Linked DNA regions of Rattus norvegicus. The protein of the gene in region 1 interacts with the protein of each later gene in a pairwise test. Links are inferred from orthologs where the notes say so. Each region holds a gene or a part of one and is shown on either strand. Other genes may lie near its edges. The genes, in order: Rbsn and Ehd1.

Region 1 (3,808 bases):
TCTGGGATCACTGGAGGCAATGAAGACTAAGGCATCTGACACTCAGAGGAGATGCTCGGCTGATAGGCAAAAAGCATACAAGCCCTGAAAATACATATAAGCTCAAGCTGATAAAGACTGGAACTCCCAAGTGAGTTTCCCAGGACCCTGGCAGCCCATGATTTGCTACACCTTCAGCTTCTGTCTTCTCCACAGAACCTGGCCATGCACAGGACAACTGCTCTTCCTACTTGTCTTGGGCCTCCTTCAAGTGGGTAAGGGAAGGTAGGGAAATAAGTTTGTTACTACACACCCAGGATGACTCTATGATTCACCTAGGGCCCTAATTGGGAAATCATACCATGGCCCTTGGGCAGGAAATGAGTCAAGGAACACCGTCCCAGAGGATTCTCTAGAATCTACAGGCAGGCATACAGCAAATAGCCAAATCTGTCTGGCATGTGTCACCTCGTAGAGCTTCACGATGTCAGGCGTGTGCTCCTTCTCATCCATCTGCTGCTCTCTCTTGAGCAGCGTGTCCTTGCAGTGCGTGCAGCAGCGGATGCGCTCATCATCCTTCTCGTCCAGGACTGAGCTGACACTGCTCATGCTACTGATGCTGCCTCGGCGGGAGCCATGGACACTGTTAGGTGACTGGCTGGGGCTGGTGTGGGTGCTCAGGGAGTCCTTGCTGGCACTGGTGAGCTTATCTACAAACCACAACAGACAGGTAGCAGTGACCCCTCAGCAGCCACTTATCCCACACCTGCGACTGTAGCACTCAGGCCACAAATGTGACTTGGGAAATAGGGAGAGCAGGCTTCACCTCTGGACAAAAAGAACCTACTCTGGCATCAGGGGTGAGACTCTGGTGGAAAAGAATGCATTGCCAAGCGATCACATCCAAACAGCTTGTGGTAACCTGTCTTTGGGCTCAGAAGCCTGATCTTAACCTGGTCATCTCAGACTTATACCACATTCCATTTGCCCCATTTCTCCAAATGATTCACATTGTCCAGACACTTTCCTTTGCAGCCCTCTTACCAGTCCCTAACACTCAGCTCTCACTCTCCATTCTCTAGGATCCCTTCCCTGGCTCCCACAAGCCAAGATCTGCCCTTTACATCGCCTCCCATTAACCATTTGGGGCAATTCCTTTTTCTCCTGTCCAACACCTGTATGTACAGAGCTGCCCTGGAATCTGCAACTGTTGGGTAGGAACTGTGTCTTACACTCATGGCCTTAACATAGCCATCAATGCCACCTAACAGACTGCCCGGGTAATAAGCCCAAGAGCAGAAAGTGAACGGTGTTCTGAAAGGAAGTAGGTAGGTCTCAGGGAGAAAGGAAACTATCAAGGTAAAGGAGGCAGACACAGGAACTAGGCAGAGAAAAAGTGAGTTTTGGCCCATGTTGTCTACAGGCCTTACAGCCAAGTGTGTACAAATAATAGAACTCTTTGGTGTTCTAATCTGTACTAAGAATGGAACCCAGACTCCTGACCATGCTAGGCAGGTGCTCTTTTACTGGGCTGCACCATAGCCTTCCATCAGCTGTGTGCAAGCAGCTGATTCACAAAGTACTGCAGTGTCTCACCCCCTGCACTTTACAGCCTTGTTCTTCCAGGTCTCACCCACGTCCTGCACACTTCCCATTGCAAGTCTCTCTCCTTACCTACTCAGTTCCGCTACACTGAGTGCCAGGATTCCTTGATGCTCTTTACCCTACATAGGGTACCACCCTTCCCCACCTCCTGTACAACCATTCTCTTTCAGACATCACTTGCACCCTACACATCCATGCTTGCTTTCACTGGAGCCTCCGTGGTATTTAGCACTTTCTATATGACACTAGTCTTTCTGAATGACTCTGCGATTTATAAGGACAGGGACAGGCACTCTGCTTATTTTCCAAAACTTCTTCTAAAAACCTCCCCTGCACTTCTAGGCAAAGGTGTCAAAGAGCTGCACTACCTCTCCTTTATGAAGCAATTGTGTGAGTCTCTATCTCCCCTGCTAGATCCTGAGTTCCTTGAGGAAACGCAATGCCTTGTAGATTAGTAAAGTTCAAATAACACTTGTAAGCCAATCTAGCTTCCACCTGTTTTTGCATAGCTCTTAAACTAAGTATTCACTTTATGCTTAACTTTCCTTTTGAGTCAGGATCATCTCACTCTGTAGCCCAGGCTCAAACTTAATGATAGTTTTTCAGCCTCAGCTTCACACGTACTGAGATTACAGGCAGGAGCCACTAACCCTGGCTTGTTTTATATTTGCTTGTTTGGTTTTACTTTGAGACCAACCAAGCTTCACTATGTAGCCCCGGTTACTGTTAGCCATGCTGGGACTTTCTGATTCTGCCTCCCAAGTGTGCACCCATCCAGATGGTTTTTTTAAAGAAGTTACTCCTTTTCTTTTTCTTTTTCTTTTTTTTTTAATTTTTAAATTAAGAAGAATGGGAAGAGACCGTGTGTGCCTTACAAAGTCTAAAATAGTTACTACCTGATCCTTCATTTAAAAAAAATCTCAGGGCCAAATGGTGGTGGTGTACACCTTTAATCCCAGCACTTGGGAAGCAGAGACAGGTGAATCTCTGAGCTTGAGGCCAGTCTAGTCTACAGATCGAGTCCAGGTCAAGGCGACACAGAGAAATCTTGTCTCAAAAAACAAAAACAAAAACAAAAACAAACAAACAAAAATCTCAGTGCTGGGGCTGGGGATTTAGCTCAGTGGTAGAGCGCTTACCTAGGAAGCGCAAGGCCCTGGGTTCGGTCCCCAGCTCCGAAAAAAGAACCAAAAAAAAAAAAAAAAAAAAATCTCAGTGCTAGATACATAGATCATCAATTAAGAGTGCTCTTGCAGAGGACCCAGGTTCAGTTCCCAGAACCCACAGAGTAGCTGACAACCATCTGTAGCTCCAGTTCCAGGAGACCCAACAGCCTTTTCTGAAAAAAAGAAAAGTGCTCCCCAGCCTGTTTCAGGCTACTATATATAGCCGTGGGCTTCGGCACAGTGTTTAGGTCTTAGTGAGCCTAATGAACTCACTAAGTAGATGAGAGAGATTCTGTGGTCCACTCACTTTACAAGTGGTCCCAAGGGTCTAAGCACACCCACTAGTCCCAGAAGAGATCAGGGCCCAAAGCCACAGCCACATCACCTACTTGCCAAGGGCAGGCCAATGAGCTCCATACACTTCTTGCACATGATAGACCCACAGAGGCGGCAGTGGTGACGGCGGTTCCGGATGCTGAACTTATTCCCACAGTCTGGACAGAATGGAACATCCTGGTCATTGACCCAAGGCACCACAGACTTTTCTATTGCTTTGGAAGAACAAACCAAAAAAAGCAGCTCAGCATTCTGAAGTTGTTTTCAGGGAGAAAGCCAAAAAGAAATGATCGTGAGCAGAGGTCTAAACTTACCTCTAATCTTTGAGGTCTCAGTATTTGTTCTGTCAAATGCGGTAAGCTAAACAAGAAAACACAACGCCAAATGGAGTTAATAAGTTAAAGGACACTCTCTACATTTTTTTGCCACTCACATTCAGCAGGAAATGTATGCTCAAACTTCTTAAGGCTCACTAGCCAGCCCCAATCCTGTTATCCAAATCATTTCACTTGGGACATGTTAGTTTCCTATCCAGAAGGAATCTCGGTACCTACAGCTCACTTCCAACCTCTTGTCAGTTACCAGTTTCTCCAATAAACATGGTCATGGTGGGGTATGGGAGCTACTGAAAGCAATGGGTGAACTCCTGACTTTCCAGTCTTCCTGGAAAATTAGACTGGCCACATATTTCTGTCCACAAAGTCTACATAAAGAGCATTCCT
Region 2 (4,303 bases), on another chromosome or scaffold:
CTATGGTCTGCAAGACATAGGCTCAAAGCTGGGATTCTAACAGTGGGGAGCAAGATGAATGTCTCCTGTGGCTCCACACCCCCAAATTATGATGATAAGTCTCCCCCCAGGCTGGAGACAGCATGACAAAGTAAAAGGCTATGTCCAAGTATAGCAGACTCCAGTGTTGTAAATCATTGCATGCTGGATCTCAATTCCCCTTGCCTAGGAAGAAATTCTCTACTCAATGGAGAGAGAGCGACAGAAAAACAGAGTGGAAGTGGAGCTGGTTCTGAGAAGTAACAGACATAACCGGTCCCATAAAGGAGCATCTGAAAGTCCATGAGAACCCACTACTCTGCAAGGTCCAGTAAGTGGACAGCAAGAAAGGCAGGAGGTTATAACAACTCCCTGGCAACAAGGATGGGGACCTCAGTCCTCAGGACCAGTGGGTGGGTCCAGTTATGCAGGCAGGGCACTCACAAACCCCTCTTGGGATTGCCTGCCTCCGTCTGTTCCTCTCACTATCTCTGAGCAGCCTTGGGGGCAGTGGGGGGGGGGGGCTAATAAATCAAGTTCATGACTCAATGGATCCCTTTAAGAGTGCCAGGAAAAGCTGTATCAGTCAGAGAAAAGCCCCCTTTGTTGTGCCTCCCTGGCCAGAGGCATATCCTGAGACAGTTCCAACCCTGGTCTTCACCAGCATTTAGAGACCCTCTGGAACTGGGATGGGGGCAAGAAGGAACCGGGTACAGAGCGTGGCCTCCACCTTGACAGTTCAGCAGGGCCTGCCTTTTGTGAGTTACTGCACTGGGGGCTATTGGGGTGGTGTGTGAGAGCTCTAGCTCCTTAAGCTCTGCATTTCCACAGGTGAAAACTGAGGAGATGCCAAGTTCCTTGCTTCCAAAGAGGTCTGCCCTCATGATGAGGCTATAACAGGAGTTGGAACAGCAAATCTTCCTGTCACTCCTGAAGCAGAGACCTAAAGCATGAATGAATTCCTTAGCCCAGCAGCCAAACTTCTCACAAGACCATCAGCACTCTGAGTCAAGGGCCTACCTACAGGGGCAGCAAAACTCAAACACCCTTAGGCAAAGGCTCCAGGCTAAGGGGACTAGAGCATTGTATTCAACCCAGGCCTGTCACGCAAGCAGCAGCATCTTAAAACAAGACAGGCTGAAATTACCTAGAAGGGACAAGAAGACATTAAAGATCAACTCCACCAAAGGAGGCAGGCCTGAGAGCAGGCTCGCTCTAGAACAAGCTGGCCCGCCCTGTACGGCTGGACAGTGTCTGCAGAGGAATGTGCTCATACAGGGCGGAGACCTGGAAAGCAGGATTCAGATTCTTTCCAAGGTTATTCCCCTAGGCTGAATGCAGATGTCGAAAGGCATGTGGAAGTCCCTCCTTGAAAGAGGGAGCAGAGAGGGCAGGGTCTGTGAGTCCTGTCATACCTAGGAGAGGAGGAGTCTGGGATGACCCAATGCCCTTAAAGAAGTGATCCTGGGCGTTAAAGCTCCACGGAAAGGCCACTGTGATTCATTCATAGCATCCTGAGAGGCTGACTCTAATTCACCTCACCCCTTTAACCGGTAAAGCTGAGACTCCAGGAGTACATCAAAGTCTATCAAATCTATAGTTGCATATGGGTCTGGTCATTTCAGGGGTCACAGTGTTACCAGCCCCTGAAGTCTCTTGAGGCAATACTGACTTAAGTTTTTTGTTTTGTTTTGTTTTGTTTTGTTTTGTTTTGTTTTGTGACAGGGTTGTCTCATACACTCCTGGCTGGCTTGGAATCCACTTAAGTGCTGCTTTTAGGAGGTGTGTTGAGACTCCTTCATCCCCTCCCTTCAAAGAGGGCTGCCCCCAAATCAGCAGACCAAAGCATATCCTCACTGCCCCTCCTACACAAAACCACTGGTCCCAGGAGATGTGAAGCAGCGAGTGACCAGCAAAAGGAACATCTAAGTCTCGGGATTTCCCATGACACTTAAAAAACAGACCCGGGTGGAAGAGGGAGGTTGATGAGAATGAGTTGGGTGCCTCCAAAATGAGGAACGAGGCAGAGAGGAGAGCAATGGCTTATCTTATCACAGTGGCCCCCAGCTCTGTGGGAAGTAGGTCTGGGATCTGCGGGAGGGTTTGAGAGTTAAATTGAAAACCTGGAAGGTTCTGGGAATGACACAAGCCAGAGGAGTGGACAATGCCTATTCCCTAACTACTCTCAGGTAGTTAGTGGGACGCAGCAAGGCCAGTGACCCTGGGAGTGATCGCTGAGGGTCCTGCGGGGCCCCTCAGAGACAAAGGCCGGCTGGGGGCAATGGCTCTGGAGGCCTTTGGTGGTCCTCGCGCTGGGGGGAGAAGGGGTGGGTACCTGTTGAGGAAGGCGTTGCCGAAGGCGTTAAGCTTGCGGAAGGGGCGCCGCGGGTCCACGACGAGCGCGTTGCCGGGCACCACGCCCTCGGTGGGGCCATGCATGACTGCGATGAAGGAGTCGGTGGTGGGCTCCGGCCCGATGCGCATCCCTGGGAAGTCCTGCTCGATCAAGTGGCGGATGAAGGTGGTCTTGCCGGTGCTGTACTGGCCGACCAGGAGCACCATGGGTTTGTTGTCGAAGTCAGCGTCCTCCAGAGCCGGCGAATGGAACTCGTGGAAGCGATAGTGCTCCTCCAGCGGCAGCAGCTTCTGCGCGTACAGCTGCCGCAGCCCCTCGGCCACCGTCTGGAAGAGCTCCGGCTCCTTCTTGCGGCGGGCATCCTTGCTCACCCAGCTGAACATGCTGCCGGAGACAGAGCTGGCTGCTACAGGACCGAGCGGCGGCTGAGCGGGACTGGAGCGCGCGGCCGAGGAGGGGCCGGCCGGCCGGCGGAGGGCAGAGGGGCAGGGGGCGGGGCGCGGCCCGCACCGCGCAGGCGCAAGGACCGGCGTACAGACCACAAGAGCGCCCTCTACTGAGGGTCGCGCGAGCCTGGCCGAGCGGCCCCTTTATAAGCCGGAGCCCGGAGTTCTGGCACGCAGGCCGCCGCCTCGGGGCAGGCGGGAGAGGCGAGGGAAGAGCCCTCCAGGCTCCGCCCCATTCGCGTGCCACGTCTTCTCCTGCTTCCCATTGGCTGATTTTAAATATCGCGAGTTCGTGGCTGTGGTGCCTTGGCAACCGCACCTGTTTTGCTCCGCCCCTCGAGGGATACCTCGTAGAAGGGTTGCAGTTGCAGGTGCCAGAGACTAGCGTCCAGATGTGCTAAGCCTGAGCACCTTGGAGCACCCGTGGGCTTCTGGATACCCCAAGTACTTCAACTGCTTCCCCCAACTGCAGGGTTTCCACCGGCTAGGAACTCCCAGAAGCATCGACAGCCTGTGCGCTGCCCCTTCCCTGCTTCTTGAACCCACACTCCTCACTCTAGTGTTTTAGCGACTCTGGAGAAGAACAGGACAGCGGGAATAGGGAAAGCCGAGGGAGTACAGGACACCGGGAAGAGGAATATTGATAAGGGAGGAGAAGTGCGCTGGATCTCCACTCAGGCTGATGGGAGAGGGACAAAGCAATGGACAACACAATTGACGTGATCTAGCGGGGAGGTCTCACCCAAGAGGTGTCAGCTGCGGAATGGGGTAAAGAAGTTGCAGCTTTCTGGTTAGATGAGTTTGGAGGAAGTGAAATCGGAAATTCCCTTTGTAAGGAAGAGGGGAAGTGTTGAGCAACAATGAAATGTTGTGGGAACTTTGGGGAAATTAAAAGCCCCAAAATTTCCGCTTTCCTTTCAGGGACACCACCAGTACCACCTCTTGTTCAGTTCTGATTCCCAACCTCCTTCCAGTTAGTAGCTGTTCCACGGGGCTTACGGACCCGCCATCATCCCTGGCCACACCTAAGTCCCCTTGGCTGGTCTGCTGGTGACAATTTTTGTGGGTGATGTCAGAGATTTGGGGACTATGATTGTTAGGTAACTAGTATCAGGTCACCCAAGTGGGAGGAGGATCTAAGGGTGCTTGGAGAAGTCTAAAAGGCACCTGAGGAGTTGGTTAACACACAGTTATGGTCGCAGATGTTTGGAAAAGTTGGAAGACTACCTGAACCCATCAATATGAGGCCAGCCTGGGCAACAGACTCTATCTTAAAAAATATTTATCGGGGCTGGAGAGATGGCTCAGAGGTTAAGAGCACTGACTGCTCTTCCAGAGGACCTGAGTTCAAATCCCAGCAACCACATGGTGGCTCACAACCATCTGTAATGAAATCTGATGCCCTCTTTTGGTGTGTCTGAAGACAGCTACAGTGTACTTAAAGATAATAAATAAATAAATCTTTAAAAAATATTTATCGATT

What was found.
Region 2: the proteins of Rbsn (region 1) and Ehd1 interact in binary tests that used the Homo sapiens proteins (3 or more experiments, as listed by UniProt). The link is inferred for Rattus norvegicus from reciprocal best matches to the Homo sapiens genes RBSN and EHD1.

Annotation. Positions count from the first base shown.
Region 1 is NC_086022.1:126,252,413-126,256,220, forward strand, and holds part of Rbsn (rabenosyn-5), read right to left. Parts: intron 3,447-3,808; coding exon 3,401-3,446; intron 3,302-3,400; coding exon 3,140-3,301; intron 690-3,139; coding exon 448-689; intron 1-447. UniProt on the Homo sapiens protein: Rab4/Rab5 effector protein acting in early endocytic membrane fusion and membrane trafficking of recycling endosomes. Required for endosome fusion either homotypically or with clathrin coated vesicles.
Region 2 is NC_086019.1:213,007,640-213,011,942, reverse strand, and holds the start of Ehd1 (EH domain-containing protein 1), read right to left. Parts: upstream 2,831-4,303; 5' UTR 2,758-2,830; coding exon 2,354-2,757; intron 1-2,353. UniProt on the Homo sapiens protein: ATP- and membrane-binding protein that controls membrane reorganization/tubulation upon ATP hydrolysis. In vitro causes vesiculation of endocytic membranes. Acts in early endocytic membrane fusion and membrane trafficking of recycling endosomes.